Linked DNA regions of Drosophila melanogaster. The protein of the gene in region 2 interacts with the protein of the main gene of each other region in a pairwise test. Each region holds a gene or a part of one and is shown on either strand. Other genes may lie near its edges.

What was found.
Region 1: the proteins of PolA1 (region 2) and Dpit47 interact in a two-hybrid assay, tested with the Drosophila melanogaster proteins (one study listed by BioGRID).
Region 3: the proteins of PolA1 (region 2) and Set8 interact in a two-hybrid assay, tested with the Drosophila melanogaster proteins (one study listed by BioGRID).
Region 4: the proteins of PolA1 (region 2) and Kap-alpha3 interact in a two-hybrid assay, tested with the Drosophila melanogaster proteins (one study listed by BioGRID).

What each region holds. Positions count from the first base shown.
Region 1 is NT_033778.4:6,660,113-6,663,789, forward strand, and holds Dpit47 (DNA polymerase interacting tpr containing protein of 47kD), read right to left. Parts: upstream 2,007-3,677; 5' UTR 1,817-2,006; coding exon 1,187-1,816; intron 1,130-1,186; coding exon 569-1,129; 3' UTR 533-568; downstream 1-532. Other genes in the region: Adf1 (Adh transcription factor 1), read left to right, coding at 2,336-2,336, 2,457-2,645. UniProt on the Drosophila melanogaster protein: May act as a co-chaperone for HSP83.
Region 2 is NT_033777.3:21,666,037-21,673,294, forward strand, and holds PolA1 (DNA polymerase alpha subunit 1), read right to left. Parts: upstream 5,715-7,258; 5' UTR 5,610-5,714; coding exon 5,594-5,609; intron 5,536-5,593; coding exon 5,341-5,535; intron 5,288-5,340; coding exon 4,269-5,287; intron 4,204-4,268; coding exon 1,643-4,203; intron 1,583-1,642; coding exon 1,104-1,582; intron 775-1,103; coding exon 578-774; 3' UTR 526-577; downstream 1-525. Other genes in the region: Jhbp16 (juvenile hormone binding protein 16), read left to right, coding at 1-100, 217-490. UniProt on the Drosophila melanogaster protein: Catalytic subunit of the DNA polymerase alpha complex (also known as the alpha DNA polymerase-primase complex) which plays an essential role in the initiation of DNA synthesis.
Region 3 is NT_033777.3:14,314,502-14,321,006, reverse strand, and holds Set8 (SET domain containing 8), read right to left. Parts: upstream 4,970-6,505; 5' UTR 4,804-4,969; intron 4,697-4,803; 5' UTR 4,627-4,696; intron 4,531-4,626; 5' UTR 4,396-4,530; coding exon 4,140-4,395; intron 4,069-4,139; coding exon 2,249-4,068; 3' UTR 513-2,248; downstream 1-512. Other genes in the region: Crz (corazonin), read right to left, coding at 5,398-5,647, 5,857-6,071. UniProt on the Drosophila melanogaster protein: Histone methyltransferase that specifically monomethylates 'Lys-20' of histone H4. H4 'Lys-20' monomethylation is enriched during mitosis and represents a specific tag for epigenetic transcriptional repression.
Region 4 is NT_033777.3:9,573,941-9,579,299, forward strand, and holds Kap-alpha3 (karyopherin alpha3), read right to left. Parts: upstream 3,794-5,359; 5' UTR 3,708-3,793; exon of another isoform or gene 3,668-3,707; intron 3,534-3,667; exon of another isoform or gene 3,370-3,533; 5' UTR 3,328-3,369; coding exon 3,268-3,327; intron 3,209-3,267; coding exon 2,828-3,208; intron 2,768-2,827; coding exon 1,937-2,767; intron 1,873-1,936; coding exon 1,696-1,872; intron 1,630-1,695; coding exon 1,534-1,629; 3' UTR 544-1,533; downstream 1-543. Other genes in the region: Son RNA binding protein, read left to right, coding at 4,240-5,359.

The DNA.
Region 1 (3,677 bases), on a different chromosome or scaffold from region 2:
GTTATCCGAGTATATAATACGCTTTCCCACGATGCACTTAGTATTAAGCCTTATATGTATGGTCATCCTGCTTTGTCAAATGTATTTTAACGAACCATATCCGGATCCACTTGGGGGGTCCCCTAGTATTACTACTGTTGTGAACCAACGATGAATGTCTAAGAATATGCTCAATTATGAAAATTTACAAAAACGCTTTTATACGTATTAAACCAAAAACCACATTGTTGACTCATTTAGGCGCCTTGTTGTTAAAGAAAAACTAAATTTAGCTAAACAATTTTCAATTCTACAGATGATTAATCGTCTACCAAAATGGGCTTACGCCGCATCAGATATTTTTTGGCGGCGTAGCCTGAACTACGCTTTTCGGCTTCGCATAACATATCAGAGATTAGTTAAACTTACAATAAAATGCTTCAAGATAGCATAACCAATGCTGAACTGTACCGTGACTAAACCATAAGCTTACAAATAAAATATGCCACAAAAATGAAGTAAACTTTACAAGCAAATGAAAAGGTGTTTGTTTGTTTTCAAGAAGGAATCACTTTATTTGCTCACTGTCTTAACTGTAAACCATGGGTCGTCGCCGTTCGTTTATAAACTCCTGTTCCACTCGCGAATCCTTGTGCACCACATAGAAGAGCAGAGCGCCACCGGAAACGAAAAACCCCTTTTCGGCGATTATCTCGGCCAGCTGCTTCTCCTCGTCCACCTTGTGGACACAGCCCACCTTGCGGTTCTCGTAGTAAACGTGCACGTTACCCAGGCGGTAGTTGTGTGCCTTGTCGTATGGCAGCTTTTCGGTGAGCAGCGTCGCCAGGCAATCCCGCATGGTGGTGGTCTCCGGCAGCTGCTGATAAAAGTCGCTGTACAGGAACTCGGGGTAGGAGAACGCAGCCGGCCAGATCAGAGTGCTGCCGTCCTCGTCTAGGTGCACCGGATGGTCCTCCAAAGGCAGAAACTTTGGATAAAGGAGCTCCTCACTGAGGACGTCCTTTTTGCCAACTTTTTGATCGTCAAACTTAATGGCGCGCTGCTCGATGGCGTCGCGGAGTCTGTGGAAGCGTGTAAGCCGTCGCTTTGCCTCGGCAGCTTCCTTGCGCTGATTGCGTTCTATCTCGAGCTACGGAAATAACTTGTTTAATGTGGGTTCCTATCCAGTTGGATCACGTATTCTAACCTTCTTCATCTTGTTCTTGTGCAGCAGCGCGATGGCCACCTCGTTGTCGACGTCCACCTCGAGCAGCTCCTCGCACATCTGGGTGCACAGATCGAACCTCTCCAGCTCGTACGCACACTGTGCCGACCGCCAGCGGGCCTTTGTGTAGTCTGGCTTGTAGAACAGAGCTCGCTGGGCGTCGCTCAGCGAGGATCTGTAGTTCTTGATGAAGAAGTGAGCCGCCGAGCGGTTGTTGTAGAGAACGGCTAGCACGTCGGGATTGTCCGTCTTGGTCTTGATGCCCTCGGTAAAGCTGTAGATTGCCATGCGGAACTTCTTGTGCTTCATGTAAAAGTTGCCATCCTCCTTGTAGTTGAGCGCCAGCTCGTCGCGCGTGTTCTCCTCCGGATCGTACTTGAGCTTCTGCAGACCCTCGAACATCGGATGCACGTCATCCCCTGGCTGAGGAGCACGTTTCATGAAGAACGGGTGCTTGTCCATCTCCTCCTGCCAGCGGTCCTCCGGCCAGCCCTCCTCGTAACGTTTCTTCTCCAGGCCATCGATAAACGCATCCAGTTCCGCGTCCAGCTGGGCCGCCAGCTCCAGACGCTCCTCATCCGTCCAGGCTTTTTGTGCCGCCATTTGTTTCATTTGGTCTAATCAGAAACAGTGTGACCGCAGACGAACCGTTACAATATACCAACTGGCCAAAGGTGCCGCACATTTCCTAAAGGTGGCGCCTCTAAAATAAGGGTGGCCCTCCGTCTATCGATAGTCGTACGCTTCCTTCTTTAAACGAGCTAAACTCGGAACGAATTATGATCTTAACATCTTAAATCTTAACATGGTAAAACTTTAAGCCTTTTGACGCTTTACGCAGCTGTTGTGATATATCAGAAACATCGATAGTCGCCATAACATATTGTTATTGTATGAGAGTTTTAAAATTATCGATGCGCTGATGACCCCTTCATCGGCGTTTTCCCACCCCTAATTGGCAGAGACGCGACTGAGCTGGGACGTACCGTTACCGTTGGCAGAGACGCGACTGAGAAATAAAATTAAAACGTCGACGTTCCTTCCTCGTAGAAGAAACCAATCAAAATAAAAACAAACAGAGCGTGCGTTCGCGCCAAATACTTAACAACAATTAGCAAACGTAAGAAGCAAAGTGAGTGTCGTCGGCTGCGGGAGCCCGTGTGCCCAGTTTGGAACTGGGATCCGACCCAGTCCACGTCCGTCTCGTCCCCGCTAAATTTGTAACTCTTGTTTCCCCGTCTTGTCCCCTCAGTGCATACCCTCACGGCGGCCATTGAGATGGACAAGCTGGATGCCAATCTTGAGCAGCAGTTTGATCTCAATCTCATCGAGGCTGTCAAGCTGAACCCAGTGATATACGACAGGTCGCACTACAATTACAAGCACTTTGTGCGCAAGGCCCAGACCTGGAAACAAATCGCCGAAACGCTCGGTGTGCCTGGTAAGTGAAATTCGGCTGGTTTTGGCTACGGGTTTTCTGCTTTCTGTCAGCCGTCTTCGGTCCGTGCCCCAACCAGCCCCAGCCAATTGATTAATTCTGTGCGGGCGCAGGTCGAAGGGGCGGGACAAGTCAGTCGACGACGACGACAGAAAACGACGCAAAAGTGAACGGCGACGCGGCGCAGTAGCTGGCTGATGGTTAGGAAATGGCAGGGGGGGATCTATACGTGTGAGGGTGGGCGCGGGCTGCACCGCTCATAAATTGCATTTTATGCGAACTTTTTTTACTGCATTTATATGGTTGCATTTAGAATACAGTTCATTAGTAATTAAACCTAGGTTAATTTCTATCTGTAAAGATCTGCTCTAAAATGAGCGCCCCTTTCGGGCGCTCGGACTGCGGCCCTGCTTGCTCTGTCGGTGTGCAGACTGTGCTCAGTCGATATTTTTGAAGTTGCTGTACTTTGCCGTCGCGTCGCAGTAGTTGTCTCGCTCGCTCCGCAGCCATTCTGCTTGCGCCAGCGTTTATTTTCGTACACTGCGACTGCGATGTGCGCTGCTCACACACGTATACATGCATACAGCATACAGTGGCAGAAAACAGTTTGGCACGGGTTATAAATACGTATTTATTAGTAAAATAAATAAGTTGCTCAGTTCTTTAGACGAAACTATGGATTTTATTTTAATATTGAATAGGATGAGAATTCGGAAAATTAAAATATAGGGCTTTGGAAAGGTCAATAGATAAGCACAAATTAGAACAGCTGTGTCAACACTTCAGAGTCCCACTGTACATACCGGAGACCGACCAGGCAGCTTTCGTTTCGTTTTCATGAGTATACCAACAAAATGTACCGTTCACCCCACCCCCTCGACGGCCGTTGATCGAACCTTAAATTTTCGGCCAAATCGCTGCACCTCATCCGCTTTCGATTATGCAAGTAGGTGGCTGGAAAGCTGGAGTTGCAGTCAAGTGGAGCCAGCAGCAATGCCACAGGTTTCCGTCTCCTGGCAGCGGGCAGCGGGAGTC
Region 2 (7,258 bases):
CCGACAAAAGTCTGGAGGGCGAGTACGAGTTCGCCGCCAAGATGCTGGGTACTGAGATGAACAGAAAAGGCCACTGGAACCTCACCCTCTACGATTACAGGTGGGCACCGAGTTGCATGGAAATATGTATTTCCCAAGCTGTGTTGCAAACACCAGTATTGTTGATAGCTTTTGGCTTACATGACAACCTATCGCTCACTTTATTTACTTCCTCAGTCAAACCACCAGCGTTAGGCGCATCGGCGGTCCGGGCTCACTCATCAAGGTCCATGTGGAGGTGGACCGCATCGGCGGAATGGAGCTGCACATTGAGAACTTGCTGCAGGGACAGCCCCTCAACCAACTGGCCGATGGAGTCATCAACAGCATGTGGCAGCTGGGATTGCCCTTCATCAAGCCGATGATTAACGAGTTGGTTAGCACGGCATTTACGGATATATTCAACGAGTCCTTCCGGCACTTTCCGCTCGAGAAGTTCCTCGCCACGTGACCTCATCTAGTTAACCATACTGTATCTCTGTATCTCTTTTGTAGTATTTTTAATGGAACTTATAACAAAGGCTAGTTAATTAAACACTTAGACCACATCCGCCAAAGCACTCGGAATTGCTTCGATCTGGGGCTGCGCCACGGACGGTTGCAGGGACATCTGAGCCAGGGATCGGGCAAAGAGCTTGCTTAGCGAGATGATCACGTAGGAGGAGCTCTGCAACTGCTGATCCACCGTTTCGTATAGGAGTTGATAGGCCTGCTCCAGCTCCGGTGTGAGGGTGGCTTGATAATATGGACAAAATATAATTTCAATATGAAATGCTGTAAAACTTAATGATACCAATCTTAAGGGAAATATATGTATTAGGTGTCAGAACTAATATATAAACTACAACAATTTTTAAGAATTCAAGGATACAAGCATAAAGAACTACTGAAATCCGTCGAGATCACGGGAACTATAAAATATTTCGACTGATTTTTCCTTTCATGTGTCTTGTTATTTAGTGTCGATATTTCTCTCTCGTACTCCACATTCTTCATTTTGTTCTTATACACAAACTATTGTTTTAGTTTTTGATACTGCTTATAACTACATTGTATTTACTTACGTTTTTGCTGCAGCGTTTGCTTGCCGAGGTCGAACATGAATCGCAGGTAGCACAGCTGATTGTACAGGTCCCGCTCCGTATACTGACGCAGCAGGCTGCCGCTCCTGCACTTTTGGCACAGCGGGCGGTGGGATTTCTTCCTCAAGGAGTGTGTGCGGGTGTTGAAGTTGCAATCCGGGTGATCGCAGACCAGCCAATTTTTATAGAACCGTTGCACATACTGCCGCATGGAAAGCTGCAGCTGATTGCGCACGCTTGCCAGGTACTGAATCGGTGCCGTTTGGCACTCGGACTTAGCGCATTGCTGGAGTACGGCTATGTGGGAGTTGCTTGGACCCGGTCGGTACGCAGACGCCATCAGCTGCTCCGTCTTACAGGTAACGCACTGGAAGCGGAACGGTTCGCACAGGCGATACAACTGCAGAGTCGTCTTGAGCAGGGACTCACCCTCCGACTGCTCGGTGTTCTCTCGCTGGGTTCTACATAACCAAAATATTCGTTAGGTTAGAGTTTGTAAGGAGTAATAAGATAGTAAGTACCTCTGCGCATTCTGACGGAACTTGGTTGGGTCCATGCCCAGACACTCGGCGATGCGACTCGCATCGGTTCCCTCCAGCACCTCCACCATTCGCGTGACTACCGGATGGATCTGGTGTCCCAGGTAGTAATTCGTGTCCAGCTGCAGCTTCTTATCCTCACTGGTCTTGAGCTCATCCAAATGGTATGCTCGCTGCATGGCAGCATTTGTTGTCCCATCCAAACAGATCACATAGTCCACCATATCGCCCTTTTTGTACCGCCTATTACGCTCGCGATTCATACGAAGGGCCACCTGGACGTGGGGCAATGAAGCACTATTGGCATATTCCTGGGGAGTCCGAGTTAACTGTTTGGTGATGACAAACAGTGGCAGCGGTACTACACCCTCTGCAATTTGAGTTTTGATCTTCTCCAGTTGGGCATGCACTGCATCCAGTTTCTCCTCCAAAGGCTTTTCCGACAGCACTTCATCGAGAACGGCTTTTCCCACCATTACAGCCAGCTGAGACCAATCGCGACGTACTATATCCAGGCCCTTGTGCTCCTGTTCACGCCTCAGGTTTCCCTTGGAATCCTTGCTCAACTTGATAGCGGCATACTTCTTTTTCTTCAGCAAGAGCAAACAGCCAAATACTCCATCGATATCCAATTCCAGCTGCTTGTATAGTTTATTTACACTCTGCTTAATATTGTGACCAATCTTGTAGACCTGGTCGTAGTCGGTTATGTTGGTATTTATCATCAGGGAATCTGTGTCTCCATAAACAACGTCATAGTTCATCTTTTGCACGAGTTGTTGTGTGTTCGTGAGGATTTCTCTGCCCTTGTGGGTGACCAAAGCAGCCAAGTGCTGGGCAAAGAACCGGGAGTGGGCGAAACCCAAGCAACCATACATGGAGTTCGCAGTTAGCTTCAGGGCCATCTGCCGAATGTGGTACTGCATCTGGAGTTCCGGCGAAAGATCAGGCGCTGCCATTAGCTTTTTCACCTCTTTTCGCGACTCCACCAAGCGTTTCAATTGAAGGGGTAAGATTCCAGGTTCCGTTTTCGAGTCGGGTAGGGTGGGCAACTCATCTGCATCCACCGGCTGTTGGACGGTGGTGAAGCATATGTTGTACTCCTGTATTATACTGGGGTACAGGGAGTTAAAGTCCATGAGGAGAACGTACTTCTCGTAGAGACCACGCATGGGCTCCAACACTAAGCCACCAGCATAGGCTGCCTTCTTTTTGGTTTGCATCGTCGCATCTGCACCTGAAAGCGTAGCATCCGTATCTCCTGCACCACTTCGTTTAGAAACCGGCTTCTTGTCCGGCACTATGTAATTCTTCTCGTGGAAGGCATGCAGCAACAAGAACTCATTTCGTTCAGAACGACCTCCTTGAAGGGTCCTGGTCATGGTATTGCCGCAGATATTAGTGATTTGTAGCGCCAACGGCATGATGTTGAGCTCACACATCAGCCTTAGTAAATATGAATTGTCCTGCATGGTGAGCGATATGAGCTTGGTAATGCTTTCTCCTTTCTCATACATCTCTAGCAGATCATCGGCATTCACTTCCATTCTCTCCGATTCCTTAAGCTTCAGTACTTGTTTGCATAGCGTTTGCAGATCATAGGATCTTGCTCTTATACACTCCTCTGCAGATCGCTTTACATCACAAACCATTCTGCCGACGAAATGTTCCAGCAATCGCTTGCCAAACGATTGGCTCAGCCTCAGTCGCCCCATTCGAGACCATTGGGGAATCTTCAGGGCTACAATTTGATCGGTTATTACATTTAGTTGACAATCCATGGAATCGAAGGTTACAATGAGATCTGCATCTATTTTCTGGTACTGAGCTAAGAACCAACTCAACAGGGCTCTCTCTGAGTCATGTTTGTGCACTGTGGTAGACTTATATTTTGCCATCTCAAAGTTCAAATCTAAAGGCCAACTAACCACCGCCGGGCGAGTCAAAGCGCACATATGTCGATTGAAAGCGGGCTGTGGAGCAGGGCGGTCGATATGGAAACGATTGTGGGTCAGCATGGAAATCATGCATATCTCGTTTCTCGATGTTTTCGGATTCATTGAGGTGCGAACATTAAGCGATAGTAGCGTAAGTGGAGGTGGTGGCGCTGGCTTTCCCTTATCTTGCACCAACTCTACATTCTTGGGCTCTGTCAATGTGACCTCGGTGTTACACCAACTCATGGGAGTTGGGCTCACCTTGAATCCAGTCACCTGCAGCCAACAGGGACCTTTGATTTTCCGATCTAAGAGGAATCTTTCGAGTGCATTGGTGGTGGCGCCGAATATGTGTGCTATAGAATTGTATTTCTTGTCAGCCGACAAATTGGGCAGTGGTTTCTTTCCATCGTAGTGAACCTCCAAGTAATCGCAAGATTGCGGAACTTCAATACCGATAGCGTGATGGGCAAAACTCTTGGTGACCTTGCGGGATCGAAAGAACTCGAGCTTCAGTTGGTTTGCCACCTCGCTGTCGAACTCCTTGTATATGTCTGCGACGGTCACCTTCTGCTTGGTGGGCTCCTTCGAAATGGGATCTAAGAGCTAAAAGAATATATTCAGAAACAACACTTCACCTAAGGACTAAGTATTTGTAGAATAATACTCACAAATTGTCGGGGCAGCAGATAGAGCACACGGTTGATGTTCTGTACACGCAGACAGACGGACTTTCCATCTGCGGTCCGACCGAACAGGAAGACTTCGCCGGGCATTTTTACTGGATCCTCATAGGCCTCCCAGTACCAGAACCGAAGCTGTTGATCTGAGGAGATTGTCGAATCCTGCTCCGTGGTGAGCACGGACTTTTCAAAATCATCGTCCATTTGGCATATAGACTCCCAATTGTTCAGCAACCTACTAATGTCCTCCGATTCCGATTCCTTTGGCGATCCAGTTGTTTCTTTTTTGGGAGCTGATTTTTCGGCGACTTTGCTTTGGGATGTTTTCTCAGCTGCTGTTTTCGTTTGGGAAACCTTCTCGGTCTGCTGTGTCTTCTCCACATCAAACTGGTTTTCATCGTCATCCAGACAGCTAAAGTCCATTTCATTGTCGGAGAATGGATCTTCGGTGGCTTTTTTTGCAGGTGTCTTTTCAGGCATGGGCTCTTTTTTGATTGTAGGACTGGAGAAAAAGGCCACCTTTGTGTTTGGAACTGCTGCCTTGGGCTTCAGAATGCGCTCCAGCATCTCGTTATCGCTACTGGCCTCCGCTTTCTTACGTTCCTGCTCCTGAACTTTGATGTTGTTTAGAAAACTATTCATGTATTCCTTGGCAGCGGCGGCATCGAATTTACGCGACGTAACTGATATTTTCGCTGGGGCTATAACCTTTTCCGCCTTTTCTGACGTCGCTGCAGGCTCTTCCTTTATTTCGCCCAAAATATCAGCAAGGATATCATCGTCTTTCACACTGGTCTTTACATCCATCTTTTTGGGCACTGCATTGCTGAATAGATTCTTGATGGATGCTTTTCCTGTTACTGGTTTTTCATTCTCCCGTGGTCTCTTTTTGCTGTTGGGGGCAACACCCTTCTTCTTCTTCGAGTCCTTCCGATCCTCCTCCCCATCGGAGTACTCATCTTCGTCCTCGAAGAAATCCCGAAGATCTTCTGCATAACCAGTACCATCTAAAAGTTAAAATTTAGTATTATAAAGTATAGAGTTCAGAGTTCCAACTTACCCTCTTCGATCCAATCGTCACCGTACTTTTCCTGCGCCCTCTTCGCGTACTCCCGCTCATCAACCACATCGTATACATCGTCCACCTGGTCCTCCACTTTGCATTTGTTCTTGGTTCCCTTCAGCTGACGCAGTCGCTCCATGGCGGCGAACCTACCATTTTTGTCTACTCTCTGGCGCTTAGCGCGCGGTTCAGCTGGAAATTTATAATTTCGGTAAAAAATATGTTTAAGGGAGTTATCTTATTAACTTACACGGTGATTCAGACATTGCAACTGGCTAACTTTGATAATAATTTCCCCGTGTTGTGCTGCAGTTTGCAAAAATTGTTTTGTGACCAGGGCTGGAGGATGATCAAAGCGGGAATGGCGGGAACATATCGATAACAGAGCTACGATACATAAAGCGCTGCCGGACTTTTGCAATGTAATATCGATAGTGTCGTTAAGAAGAGGAAGAATGTAAGGAAATTAAAAAAAATAAAAGCCATACAATAACTTAATCCCAAATTGCAATTTTATTATTAAGTAACATCTCTATTTTATGAATTTCTGAGTGGTAATATATCGATAGGTGGCAGCGCGTTATGTTAGCTCTGGGCACTGTTAGCGTCTAATCTGTAAGCACAAATGATCGATTACAGTTAACACGAATAGTTAACATAACAGTTACAGCGATTTAAAATGACTGCTATATTTTGGCGGGAAATCCGACCTGATAATTGAAATGAATTCACCAAGTAAGAAAGAACAATGATCACCATTTAAAGGGCGTTCTTTTAGATTTTACATTTTCGAGCTTCAGCTTTTTAATTGCAGTGGATCACAAAAAGAAAAACTTTTCCATTAGCAGTTGCTCCATGAAGATCCCCTTTTAATGTGCTTGTCATATGTTTTTATTCCCAAATTAAAAGACAATAGTTTGTTTGGTTTTAATCGTATTTTATTTATCATGCATAATATTAGGCTTATAAGATATATATAATATTATACTTTAAATACAATATACAGCAATTTCGATTAAAATTTGTGTGGATTTGAAAGGTGATTTCATACCCTATATAATTATCAATGCAAAATCATGGTTTATATATATACACACATACACAAAACAGACTTACATATTACATGAATACATATATTTATGACTATATTTGCTGTTTAATTGTTATAAGCAAAAATTCGTACATATTTACAATTTAATAGTAAATATTTAGAATTTCTGCACTTGCAGTCGTTATATTTTACAATTATTTTCGGGTGTGTTGGTGAGGAAAGATTTCGGAAGATGAGAAAATATGGAAAATACTGTTTTAGGATAGGGTGATCGAGAGGAACTATAGAAAGGATATTAAAATGTCAGTCTACCAGAATGTACAGCAAAGCAGATAAAATAAGATAAAGGAGGGCAGTTAAGCAAAGCAGATAAAATAAGATAAAGGAGGGCAGTTATTTAGGATCCTTGAGGTATTTTCTTTAGCTATGGGGTGTGTTATTCATTTCTATATGGTTTTCATTTTTATTTCAAGCCACAGACATGGCACAACAATTTATTATGTTTTTTTTTTATGTTTTAAGGAATTTTTCTCCGTGTATGGTTTCCATAGTTTTGGCTAAACATTTAACAACAGCAACAAATATAAAAACAACAAGAAATAATCGTTAACAAGTGCAAGATGATACTGAAATGAAAAGAGAAGAAAAAGAATCAATGAATAATTCAGTTTACAATTGGTTTAATATTATACTATGTTATTATGTAACTATATTAAATCAGAATATAAAGTGGGTTGCAATTCTTATTCCAGTATAATTACATTGCTTGCTTAAATGTATTTCATATTTTTCTAAAGTTTATTTTGTATCAAAGAATTATCTTGATCTGGAGTATTCTTAAAAATACTTAAAAAACAAAAAGTA
Region 3 (6,505 bases), 7.4 Mb from region 2:
CTTTTAAAAATGTAAAACTATTAGTTCCATGATGATTTTAGCTTTAATCAACCCCAAAGTTAGAACCCTAAATCGGAAAACTCCGCCTATCTGAGGAATATCATCAGTTAATCCCTGCGGCAAAGCCTACAAATGCATTCCACTAGCGGCGAACTTCCCCTTTTGTATATCCATAACAAATACTCCAATGCGATTGCGGGCCACCACCACCACATGGATGAAAACCCAACCCGCCTGATGCGAATTTTTTCTATATTGTGTACTTATAACAAGCGACAGGAAAGCGAACTAACCAAGCAAACATAGTTAACGTGTTGTATATGAAATAGGATTTGTTAGTTGATAGAAGAACTCCCATGCATTCCAAGTGTAAATGAGTGTGACTGGTTGCCATGATGATCTCCAGGTAATCGCTGGAAAACGAAACCCAATCCGCTCCAGTTCTTGATTATTGTTTTGTTCGTGTTAATGTGTTTTCATTTATTTATTTTACTTTATGTTACGCACTTTAAGTTGAATGTGTCTGTGTGTGTGTGTGTCTGAAAAATTATAAACAATTATCGACTAAAACTAAGTGTTTGATGTAATCATATGTTTTTAGGCTTAAATGTAAATTACAAATAGATTTCAATTTGTTTTGTTTCATTTTGCCAAGTCAATGAAAAAAAAAGGTAAAAACAAGAACATGATTATAGATGGTTGCTGCTTGGTTTTAAATAAATGAATTACCTATGTACTAGAACGTATTAAAATATATTTACCATATTGTATAATTAAAAGATATGCGCTGATTAAAATAAACCTATTTAAAAAAACAAAATCCTTCAATATATTGGAGCATTCATTTAAAATACAGAAATCTGGTTCAAATGGGACAACACAAATTTGAACTAAGTCGATTAACTAACGATGCCGTATTTTCGGGGGCAGGGGCGGGGTGATTTATCATTTAATTGCTTGAGTGTGTGATTGAAACCTGCGTGTAAGTAGAGAGATTATCAGTAAGTCGAAGCACTAGGTGTCCAGCAGGCCACTACTCTCCTGGAGAAGCCTCGAGAATTAATGAGTGTGTCAATGGGTTAAATCAACAATTCAGTAGTGTCAGTTCCTAGGGGTTTTTTTTTTTTTTTTGGGACAGGTGCGAGGGGGAGTGTATAGCTCTATGGCAGTAAATAGTACGTAATAGTTAGAAATTACACATGTATCTAATATAAATATCTATATAAATAGTGTACAATCGATTCTTGTCAATGTGAATGCGTGGCTTCATCAACATCATCATCTCTTTTCAAATGGTCAACAGTTTTTCGATTTCATTCAATTATCTTAAGATGCCTTAATGCTTAAGCGCGTTGTTTTTATTATTATTATTATCATTATTATCTCTCCTTAACTTTAGCCTTGCTCTAAACATAATGAAACGCTAACAAATCCAAAAAGATGCTCATGAGTTTGTGTAAGGAGGGAGGGGGAGGGGGGGGTTGCTTGGATCACGGGTGGATCGATAATGAGTCTTATAGGGATTGAATCGTAATCGTACAATTTAAAGGCATTTTGCTTTGGGGATCATGGGTCTAATATCAATTTACAATCTGTATAGTCTAGGTCTTTTTGATAAATTTGTTCTTAATTGATAATTTCGATTATTTCACTGACCCAAAGGGAAATATTAACTTCATTTGTAACTTATTTTGGTAACGCCGAAGATCGAAATTGACATTAGACCTATTTCTGAGGCAAACTTGTTAGAATTTACATTGATTACTTTTCGTCCCTGGCTGGAACCACCCTTGGGTGTGGGGCGTGTGGGTTTCGCTATCCGTTATGATATTTTGAACTAACAGTTTATATACTTTTCCTCAAATAAGATCTAAGCTCGGGGCTGCCCAGAACCGGTGTCAAATACGCCTCTCTCCATTCCGATCCAAATTGCCGGAATTCGTAATGATTGAATTGGTCTTACCAAAAATATAAGTGCTTGCAATATTGATATAATTTTGCTTAATGAAACTTTGTAAATGAATCAAATTCCGGCAACTTATCACACGGAAACAGGTCTGAAAACAATTTTGCAGTGGTTCAAGGCAAGGCAATCTACGTATAAAAGCTAAGAAAGATTCCCTCGAGCCAAAAACCAGTTTAGCCCAGGTCTTATTATTTTAAAGATTCTCTGCCCTGAACATGGTAAATAGTCTTCGTTTTAAGGCTGTACCGCAACCCCTTTCGCGAGCTCCTGGAGAGCTCTTCCTCAGAAGGCCAACCAAGGATGGTGCAATAGTGACTCCTTCGATCGGTCCCCGTAGTCATAGGTCAGTTCCTCGCCCGGCTCGATGTCGTCCTTGGCCAGGAGTACGAGATGCGGCCGCTGTTTGATAAGTACTACTTTGGTCATTAGGTTACCAGCCCGCGAGTGATTGATGAGGCGCCCCAGCTTGCCGGTGTCAACGGTTGCATCGATGCAGTACTGCTGGGACTTGTGCTTGAAGTAGTACATATAGCACCCAGCATTCTCGTCCAACGCATAGCGTTTCTCCCGTTCCGCGGCTTCGCCTATAGATATGAGATCTCCCACATACTCAACCACAAATTCGTTGCGTTTAAAGGGCCGATCGGCGACTACGCCTCTTCCCTTGCCCATAAAGTGGCGTACTTGGAGACCATCGCAGCGCTCTTCCAGCACTGCTTGCTCCAAGCCTCGCATCCATTCCTCCTTGACGGCCGTCTTAGTCTTGCGCACACTCCTTCGCACCGGGAAGAAGTCCGTCATCTCACGATTGCCGTTGGTGGCAGCCAAGGGCAGCGGCGGTTGTCCCTTCGTTGGCCCCTTGCTTTTGGTCTTTGATTTCACGGGCGCAGGCTTGAGCATCGTTTTCATGCCTGCTTTGTTGCTGTTCGCTGTGGCTGGTGCTTTGTTCTGGTTTTCACGCTCCTCGGCAGCCTTGATCAGGGCTCGAACGTCGTCCTCGTCATCTCCTTCATCATCGTCGTCGTCTAGCACCACGACGATATCATCCTGCTGCTGCTGCTGCTGTTGTGACGGTGGTTTCTGTAGCTGTGGCTGGTAAGGCGCTTGTGGCTTTGGCTGGTTCAGTCTTCGACGCGACTTGCAGGCTGCCACCGCTGCTGTTGTGGTCGGCAGTTTTCGAGGAGACTTGCGCGGCGACAATGGATCCGCAGATCCGACCTTGCAAATCCCTCCAGTTACCTTCAAAGCCGTTTTGATTGGCGAGGGGCAGAGGATGCGATGCGGTGTGGCTGGTTTTCTGCGTCGGGGTTGCCCCGCTGGCGATTCTGTATTGGCAGTGAGACCACAGGCTACTCCGCTGTCGCAAGAACTACTGTCATGTTGATCCAAATCGAAGTGCGGCAAGTCCAGCGCCTCCTTTTGTCCATTCAGGCTTACTATTTGATTGAAGCGTCCATTGAGACAGGCGTTTAGCACCGACGGAGGTGATGAGAATACGGCTCCGGCCAGTTCGAAGCTCCGATTGATCTTTATGCTGGAGGCTTTGGTGGGCGTGCGATCAATGTCCAGGGTCAGTACCGGCTCCTGCAGGAAGATGTTGTCGGTGCTGCTGCTGTGCGTGGAACTGTGGCTGTCCCTCAGCGCAGAGCGATGTGTCTGGAAGTCGGCCAGAGAGCCCAGTCCCTCGAGCGGCTCTGTGACCTTTTTGATGTGTGGAATTTCTGGAGTCTGCTGGATCTCCTGCATGACATCCATATCATGCTGATAAAAGGGCGAATTGGAGGACGCTCTGGAACTGCCATCGAACAGAAGTTCCTCCACCACCTGCTGCAGTTCCTCATCCATAAGCTTTTGTTCTGCCTTGGCATCTACTTCGTCGGCAAAGGGAAGGTTTTCATTTATCTGCTTGTCTGCCAGCTTTAGCACCTCGTCATCTAGTTTTATCTGTCCATTTAGCTCCTCATCGTCCAGTTTCAGTTCCTGATTTCCTAGATTCAACTGCTCCTCTGTGTGTATTGTCTTTTGGGAATCCTTAGCGGCAGCATTGGCTTTGAAGAAGTTCTCAATGGTGCGAGTTTGTGAGCGCGTGGCCAAGGGAACTCCTTGAAAAATAACAAACAAGGGGTATTTTAGCCAACACAGCTAACCTAAAAAGTACGAGAAGCGTACTCACCTATTGTGCGACCCGCTTTGTTGTCTTTGTTGTGTGCCATCATTGTGGCTTCCGGCAGTTGGCCATTTTGAGTGACCTTCATCAAACGGCAGTCTTTCCGCTTGGGGCTGGCAAAATACTGATCCTCCAGCAGATTTCCCGCCACATTCAGTGGCAGTGCCTGGTCAACAGGAATTCCCGATCCCGAGGAAGCTCCACCAGAGGATGAGGATGCGGCTTCCTTGGCGGGCCGTTGTCGTCTTCGCACCATTATCATTTAAAATGGGTTGGGGGCGCGTGATCGCTGTGTGGGCGGTAGTTACTTGGGTTTTTTTTTGGCGTTGGCGCGTTTTTTTCTGGACACGCGTTTTACCTCTCACACGCACACGCGGAAAAACCAAACTGCAATTACCTGAAGGTAACCGAAAAAAAACAAACAACAAAATTAACGTAGAACTCATAAAACAATTGCACATTACATGTGTGTTTTTTTTTCCTCCTTTTCTACCTCTCTTACTCTCGCTCTCTGCCATGCACTTTTCTCCTCTACTCGCCCCTCTTGCGTACAGTTTTCGCCACTGAAAAAACGTAGTCGTTATTGTTGTTGTGCGAAGCGAGCGAAAGAGGAAGAAGACCAAAAGAAGGGAAAAAAAGAGGGAAAATAATGTGAGTCCCCGCAATGCACCTCGCTCGGAAAACTGTCGTCATACGCAGAAGCGCATTTTTAAACGGATGCGATCGACTTTATGCATGGCAGCATTTCAATGGCGGGGGAAATTAATTGTTGCACTTTTCCGCAAACTTTTTTGGTTCTTTCTTTTTTGCGTCGGTTAGTGTTACCAGATTGCGCATCTGCTTTCACCTCTCGTGTATGCGGCCTCATTTTGTAATACCAAATTCAGTATATTTTCATATTTTCAGCATGTTTTAAAGCTGTGTTGGGCAGTACTAAAGTATTAAGTTGAAAAAGATATGTTAAATCAATTTGACTAAATATGAATTATTTATATCTAAGTGGTCTAATGGTACCATTAGAAAAAGACGAAGGTTTTGGATTTATTACATACATTTTCTAATGACCTCATGTAAATGGTATCTGAAACAACTCTATTATTTACACTATTTAAATATTTAAAATACTCTTCTTGGATATTAAAAAAAGACAGTTAAGTAATTCATAAAAATCCTGTGTTTTATTAACCGTTTACAACAATTTTTTTTACATTTTTGTAGCATTTTTTGCTAGTTTACAATAGATTTCACATTGAACGGATAGTGGCTAATGTTTTCCAAACACATTGGGTTCGGCGGATGCTCCTCCAGCGGCACTCAGCTCTTCTAGGAGTTCGTTGGACTGGCGATGTCTGTTGGGGATATTGGCACTTGAGTACAAAACATTCTCGCCATTAGAGTTGCTCAGTCTGGGATGGGCGCTGTTTTCGGGATCCGGATCTACTCGGTTGGCATTGAAGTCCGAACCGGGGACACAGTTTCTGGCAATCAGTGAACGTTGGAGCTGCGATAGACAGCTGGAGGAAAATTTTAAAATATTACTTTAATACATAAAAAACAAGAAAATAAGTAGGAATGAAGTGTATAAGTAGGGCAATTATAATATATAATTCCTTAGTTATATGATTTTAATAGGTATCTAATGGAATGTTTTTGGGTTATCATATTCTTTATGTATTTTAAAAATAAAGTTGTATATTTCTGTTATTCTTTCGATGAAACTTACCGCTCGAGCCTACGATCGCTGCTCCAATCCTGCAAATCGTAGAGATCCGTGAGTCCCAGCTCGCTGGCCCGATGGAGATGGCCGTTGGCCAGGAGGGGAGATGCGGCGTTAAAGGACCTCTTGCCGTTGGTCCATCCGCGGGAGTACTGGAAGGTCTGGCCCATGCACATGGAGAGCGTGAAGAGGAAGAGGGGCAGCAGCAGGAGGCGCAACATGTTTCGGCAGAAGTTAGTCCTGTTTGCAGGACACTCGGTAATCTCGGTTGGTTCCTTTCGCGTTCGAATCACAACTGCGTCTGAACTATTGATGCTCCTCGACGGGCTTTTATATCGTTGTTAGATAGCCATTAAGGATTGATGCCAAAGGATGCGTGATGTGTCTGCGTTTTCCTCCAGAATCCTTGCTTCAATGCCCTCCAGAAACACACACTTACCCAGATTAACCGGGGATTATTAGCACCCAATTGTTTCAACTTGGCAGTTAGCGCCCACATGTGGCCACGCCCCCAGCTGCCGCCACCGCCCCTTGTACCAACGACAGCTGGCTGCTCAAACTGAATGCATTTGCTGATTGGAAAACTACCACTTTTCCCGGGCAAAATCCGAAAGTGGGTGGCAAAAGGCAAAAGGCAAAAGGCTTAAAATAAAAT
Region 4 (5,359 bases), about 12 Mb from region 2:
TGTTGACGGAAGCAAATGTGTCTGAATCGAATGCATCGCTACCAATACAAGTGCAGCATCTCTATAAATAGCAGGCAAATGCAAGTTTTTTAGGAGTCACGCGACAACAGTGATGCGCCATTTTTCACTAATACAAAAAAATTAATATCTAAATCTTATATTTATTAAATCTCACAGGAAATGACGTATTAAAACACATACAATTACACAATTATAAAAATAATTTTAGCACCGCAACAGCTGGGGTACTACAGCTAGACAATCTGCCATCTCAAATTCTAGTGTTGGTAAACGTTGTCCCGCCTGCATATATAAGTCAAAGTATACTATTTTCGAAAAATTAGGTAAATTTCAGTAAAAGATTTGTACTGCACGAGCTGGAACCACTTTCATAAAGTTAACTTTCATCACAGAATTCGGAATGTCCTATAAATAATTATAGAAGCCCATGTAGATGATGGGTAAGTTACACGTAAATATTCTGAGTAGTTCCAAAAACAACCGCCAGGCGAAACTTTCTTTATATGAAAGAACGAATATGTAAAAGTAAAATGAAGAGCTATTTATTCCCACACTCCTCAAGATTTAAAAGTAAAACATACATCACATCACTCAACTAAATCTAACTGATTTAAAGTATCCTATACTGTATACAGAACACTAGCGAAACTGATGCTTTGCAGATAAGTCATTAATACAATTTGATCCCTCAATTGAGGGAAACGCCCAGTCCCTTCTGTTGCAATCCGAATTCGATTTTCGATCTGATTGTTTACAAATATTTACTCGATCTGTTGCCATGTGAAAGCCGATTTTTCAGCTGCCCTGCCAGGTAGACGGGCAATTGCGCATTAATGGGAAACGTGCTCAAGTGACGCACTAGCTGAAATAAACGCTAATTATTAACAGCTCGGCCGACGGACAACTCGAATGCCTGGTCTTGAAACGCGACACACTTGTTCTTATAAAATTCCGCTTAACTTATCTGCCTGGAAACAAAATGATGAGTTGCCTTTTGCTTTTATCGTTTTCATGTTAGAAATGTATACATATGTAATTTCAATTACAAATCAGAAGCGTAAATATTTAAATAATTTCATATAAATCAAATAGGTCTACATTCTTTTTGAAATCTGTTTCTCATTCCTGTGTTTATATTTTGGATGATCTATAGCAGAGTCGCTTCAATCGGAGAAGTCCTTGCATTGCACATTCACACACCCAAGAGTGTGTGTATGTCTGAATTTTGTAATTTTGTTAACACAGAATTGAGAGAAGCTAAAACGGCTGCAGCGGATTATCCGTTGTGTATCCTCCAGAGTTCCTATTCTCGTCCCTAAAACGAACCCGGCTGTCTAATTGCTGCTGTGTGGTGGACAAAATATAATGCTATTATTATGTGAATTGGTTGACGGCTCGTCGGGCTTGTTCATACACAAGCGATTGTGTACGAATAAACGCCAAATTATGTGGTGTTGCACGTGTTTGGTTTTCACTTCACTGCTACTGCGCGGCTGCTTTCTGATTAAATCGTTAAAAGTTAAATGAGTTCATCGTTAGCCTATCGGCGTGTGGATCGAAATTGTATTGTGCGCCGTCGGAGGTCGGTGCCATGTTAGTCTGTTCGCCCTGTAAAGGATGCATCAAAAACGTTTTAGAATAATAACAAACGGTTGACTTAAACTGTTAGCTCACCTCATCAGTGAAGTATTGATCGATGATCTCATAAGCTAGTTTGTAGATTTCAACGTTTTCGTGGCTCTGCAGACGCTCGATCTTGGCCAGGCCCTCGCATTCCTCAATGCAGTTGGCCACCGCCTCAACATGAGAATCGGCCACTTTTAACATATTGTTCAGACCATCCAAAACAACCTTTAAAAAAAAGGGGAATGTGTTACTCAAAACAAATATGTGAAGAGACGCAAATTATACTTACATTTATAACTTGCGTATCCTGGCATGAAAGGAGGTCACAGAATGGCGGAATGACGCCCTCCTTGATCAAGGTGAAGACCTGTTCGCGGTTGCCGCTAATGGTCAGATTGCTGATGGCCCAGGCAGCCTCCTTCTGTGTCTGGAACTCGCCCTTGCTTAGGTTCTCGATAATTTTGGGCAGGAGACCCACGTTAATAACGGCCTGCACCTGCGATTGATTTCCAGCGGTTATATTGGAAAGGAACCAAACCGCCTCCTTTCGGATCTTCTCCTTGGGATGCGAGAGCAGGCCCGGGAAGTAGGAGAGCGCGTCGTAGTTGAGCACAACCTGTGTCTGCTCATCCGATCCAGTCACAATATTGCCAACAGCCCGCAGTGCGGCTGTCTGTACCTTGACCTCGCTGTTGCCCAGCAGTGGTATCAGCTTGGGTACAACTCCACTTTCAATGACCATCTGGATCTGATCGTTGCCACCGTCAGTCAAATAGCTGATGGCCCAGACCGTGTCCACCAGGATGTTCGTGTCGGTGTGATGAATGAGCACATTGAGTGCGGGCAGGATCTCATGAATGGTGGCTGTCGGGGGAGCCGGATCCTTGTTGCGGCACAAATTCACAATAACCCATGTTACATTGCGCAAGAATGTGATGGGGATGTCTGGCTTGATGAACGACAAAAGTGGCTGCACGACTCCGTGCTTAATGACAAAATCGCGGAGCAAAGGACCATCGCCTATGATGTTGCCCAGGGCCCACACGGCTTGTTCGCAAACATTGGGAGCGGGCGAGTTGAGAAGTTGAAGGAAGAGCGGCACGGCACCGGCGGCAACAACCTATACAGGATTATATTGCATTAAAACAAAGAAAGTGCTGAGAGGGAAAGCTGAACGTACCTCGTTGGTCTGAGCCGATGTGCCAGAGGCAATGTTGGTCAGGGCCCAGGCGGCCTCGAACTGGAGCATTGTGTGATTGTGTTGTTTGAGGCACTCCACCAGGATGGGCAGAATGTCGCTTTGGATCAGATCGTTGATGGGTGGATTCTTGTCCGACGACAGCAGCTTGCGGGCAGCCTGAACAGCGGCCAGTTGCTGTTCCGGCTTGGTGGCGTCTGCGGCTGCCTTTGCCAGCTTCTTCAGGTCAATGGACGAGGACAACTGCTCCTCCTCATCTGTGTTCGAGTCCAAATTGGGCACATTGCGACGCTTGAGAATGGTCTCTTCGCGCTTGTTCTTCCTCAGCTCAACGGTGACTTCATTTCTCCGACGTCGCATTTCCTGCAAATTAATTAATATTATAATGTTTCCCATTTCAGCGGTAACTTCTAACTACTCACATCCTGGTCTTTCCCTTTGTTTTTGAAGTTTTGTAAACGATTTTGCTCCATAGACGTCATTTTGTCTGATTTCCTTGTATAAGGGTTTGCTTTTTCGATTGGCTGTTAAAAAGTGAGTTTTTAAAAACTATTGAATGCGATGTTGGCGACGTACGCCTCCTAGCGTATTCGATGAACAATTAATAATTTGTTTCAATTGCACACCAGCCAATGGGAAAAATTATTCGCACCCACACCAGCGCACATCCACGAAAAAATAACGTAGAATCGACCAACACAGTTGCAGCATAACACGATGGCGCAGGCATTGAAAAAAGGAAATGGCGAAAAAATACATGAAAATTAGCAATGCAACGGGCGAAAAAAGTGTTTCTCTTGGTCCTCGGTAGAGGATACTTACGTTTTTAGCAAGTAAATCGGGTTTCTCCCACGACACATACACTTTCTACGTCTTTTAAAAGTGATAAAATTCTTTCCTTTTTATTAAAATTGCAATCAGTGACAACGACGTGAGTGAAGTTGGCTGCGGTTGGCAATTCGGGACTGCCCACTTATAGGCAGGGTCGATTGAAGCACCAATCGTCAGATCTGAATTTATGTCGACTTATTTTTTAAATTTAGAAATTTTAAGTTTACTCAGTTGGAGTTGTAAGCTTATGAACCAGTTGAACATTATTTAGGAAATATTTCATTTGTCTTAAAAAGCATTATAGCAATTCTTATTATTTAGGTTTTTTCAAGCAGGCGCTTGTCGTGACGGTACTATTACACAACTCTAGCAAAGTATCGATATCTTTGAGCCCTGCGAACTGTAGATACCATTACGAGTGTCATCGCTATTATTGAAACTTCTGTCCAAGCAAGACGTGCAGAAAAACGCTTAATCGCGAACAGCGACAAATTCGCTGATCTGTTGCGGTAATCTATTAGCATGCATAGACACTAGGACGATCCGCGCCCAGCGAGAGAGCAATGACGGAGAACACAGAGAAAGGGGCGAGCGTAGAAACGCCTCAAGTGGCGGGGTCTCAGACAAATCCTCCGGTTCAGGAGCCACTTGCACTGACCAAGATTCCGCCAATTAAGGTAAAGAGCGAACGACCGGACGCAGAGGTGGAGGCCAAACTCCGGGCCATGAATGCCAAGATCAAGGCGGAGATGGTGACTTTGATGCGGAGGAGCAACAGCAATGAACTGGGCAACAATGACGAGTCGGGGGAGAGCGAGAGCTCCGCGTCGGCGGACGACAAGAAGAACATTAAGCCTGTAAAGTCCTCGAACGAGATCCTTGCCGAGCTGTTCGGCGTATTCAATGCCGCTCCACCAGAGGAACTTCTAGACGACAATCTGTTCAAGAAAAAGAAAAAGGTGAAAAAGGAGAAGAAGGATAAGAAGGCCAAGAAAAAGAAGACGACCAAGTCAGATGGCGAATGCAGCGACTCGGAGGCGGAAGGCAAGCACAAGCATAAACGTAAGAAGCACAAACATAAAGACATCAGAGTCAAAGACAAGGAGAAGGATCGGGACCGGGACAAATCTAAGGAGAAAGATCGGGACCGCGTTACGGACAAATCAAAGGAGAAGGATCGGGACAGGGACAGGGATAGGGACAAATCCAAAGATAAGTTTACGGCAGCACAAGCTCCCTCCGAGAAGGAGAAAGAAAAGTCTGAGAGCCGGAAGCGCAGCGCTGTGGAGCCTTCCAGTCATTCCGAAAAGCGCGAACGACATGAAAGGGAGAAGCATCGCGACTGGGAACGAGAAAGGGAACGGGAAAAGGAGCATGAAAGGGAACGCGTCCGCTCCAACAATAGCTTTTACAACGGGCAACGTGAAGCGGATCGCTTGAAAGGATCTGAATCAGCGAGCACAAAGTCACGGCAGGAACAAGATCTCTCCGATATCTCGCTCTCCGATGAGGAGTCGTACCTCCGGGAGAAGGCTTCCAACGGCCGTAGACGGGCGCACAACAGCTTTTATGATGAAAAGGAGGAATTGTCGGTTTCACCCAAGCGTAACGTGCGCGAATCCAACACCAGGAGAAACCGAAAGTCAAGATCTCGCTCGCGTGACCTCGGCATAGACAAAAAGC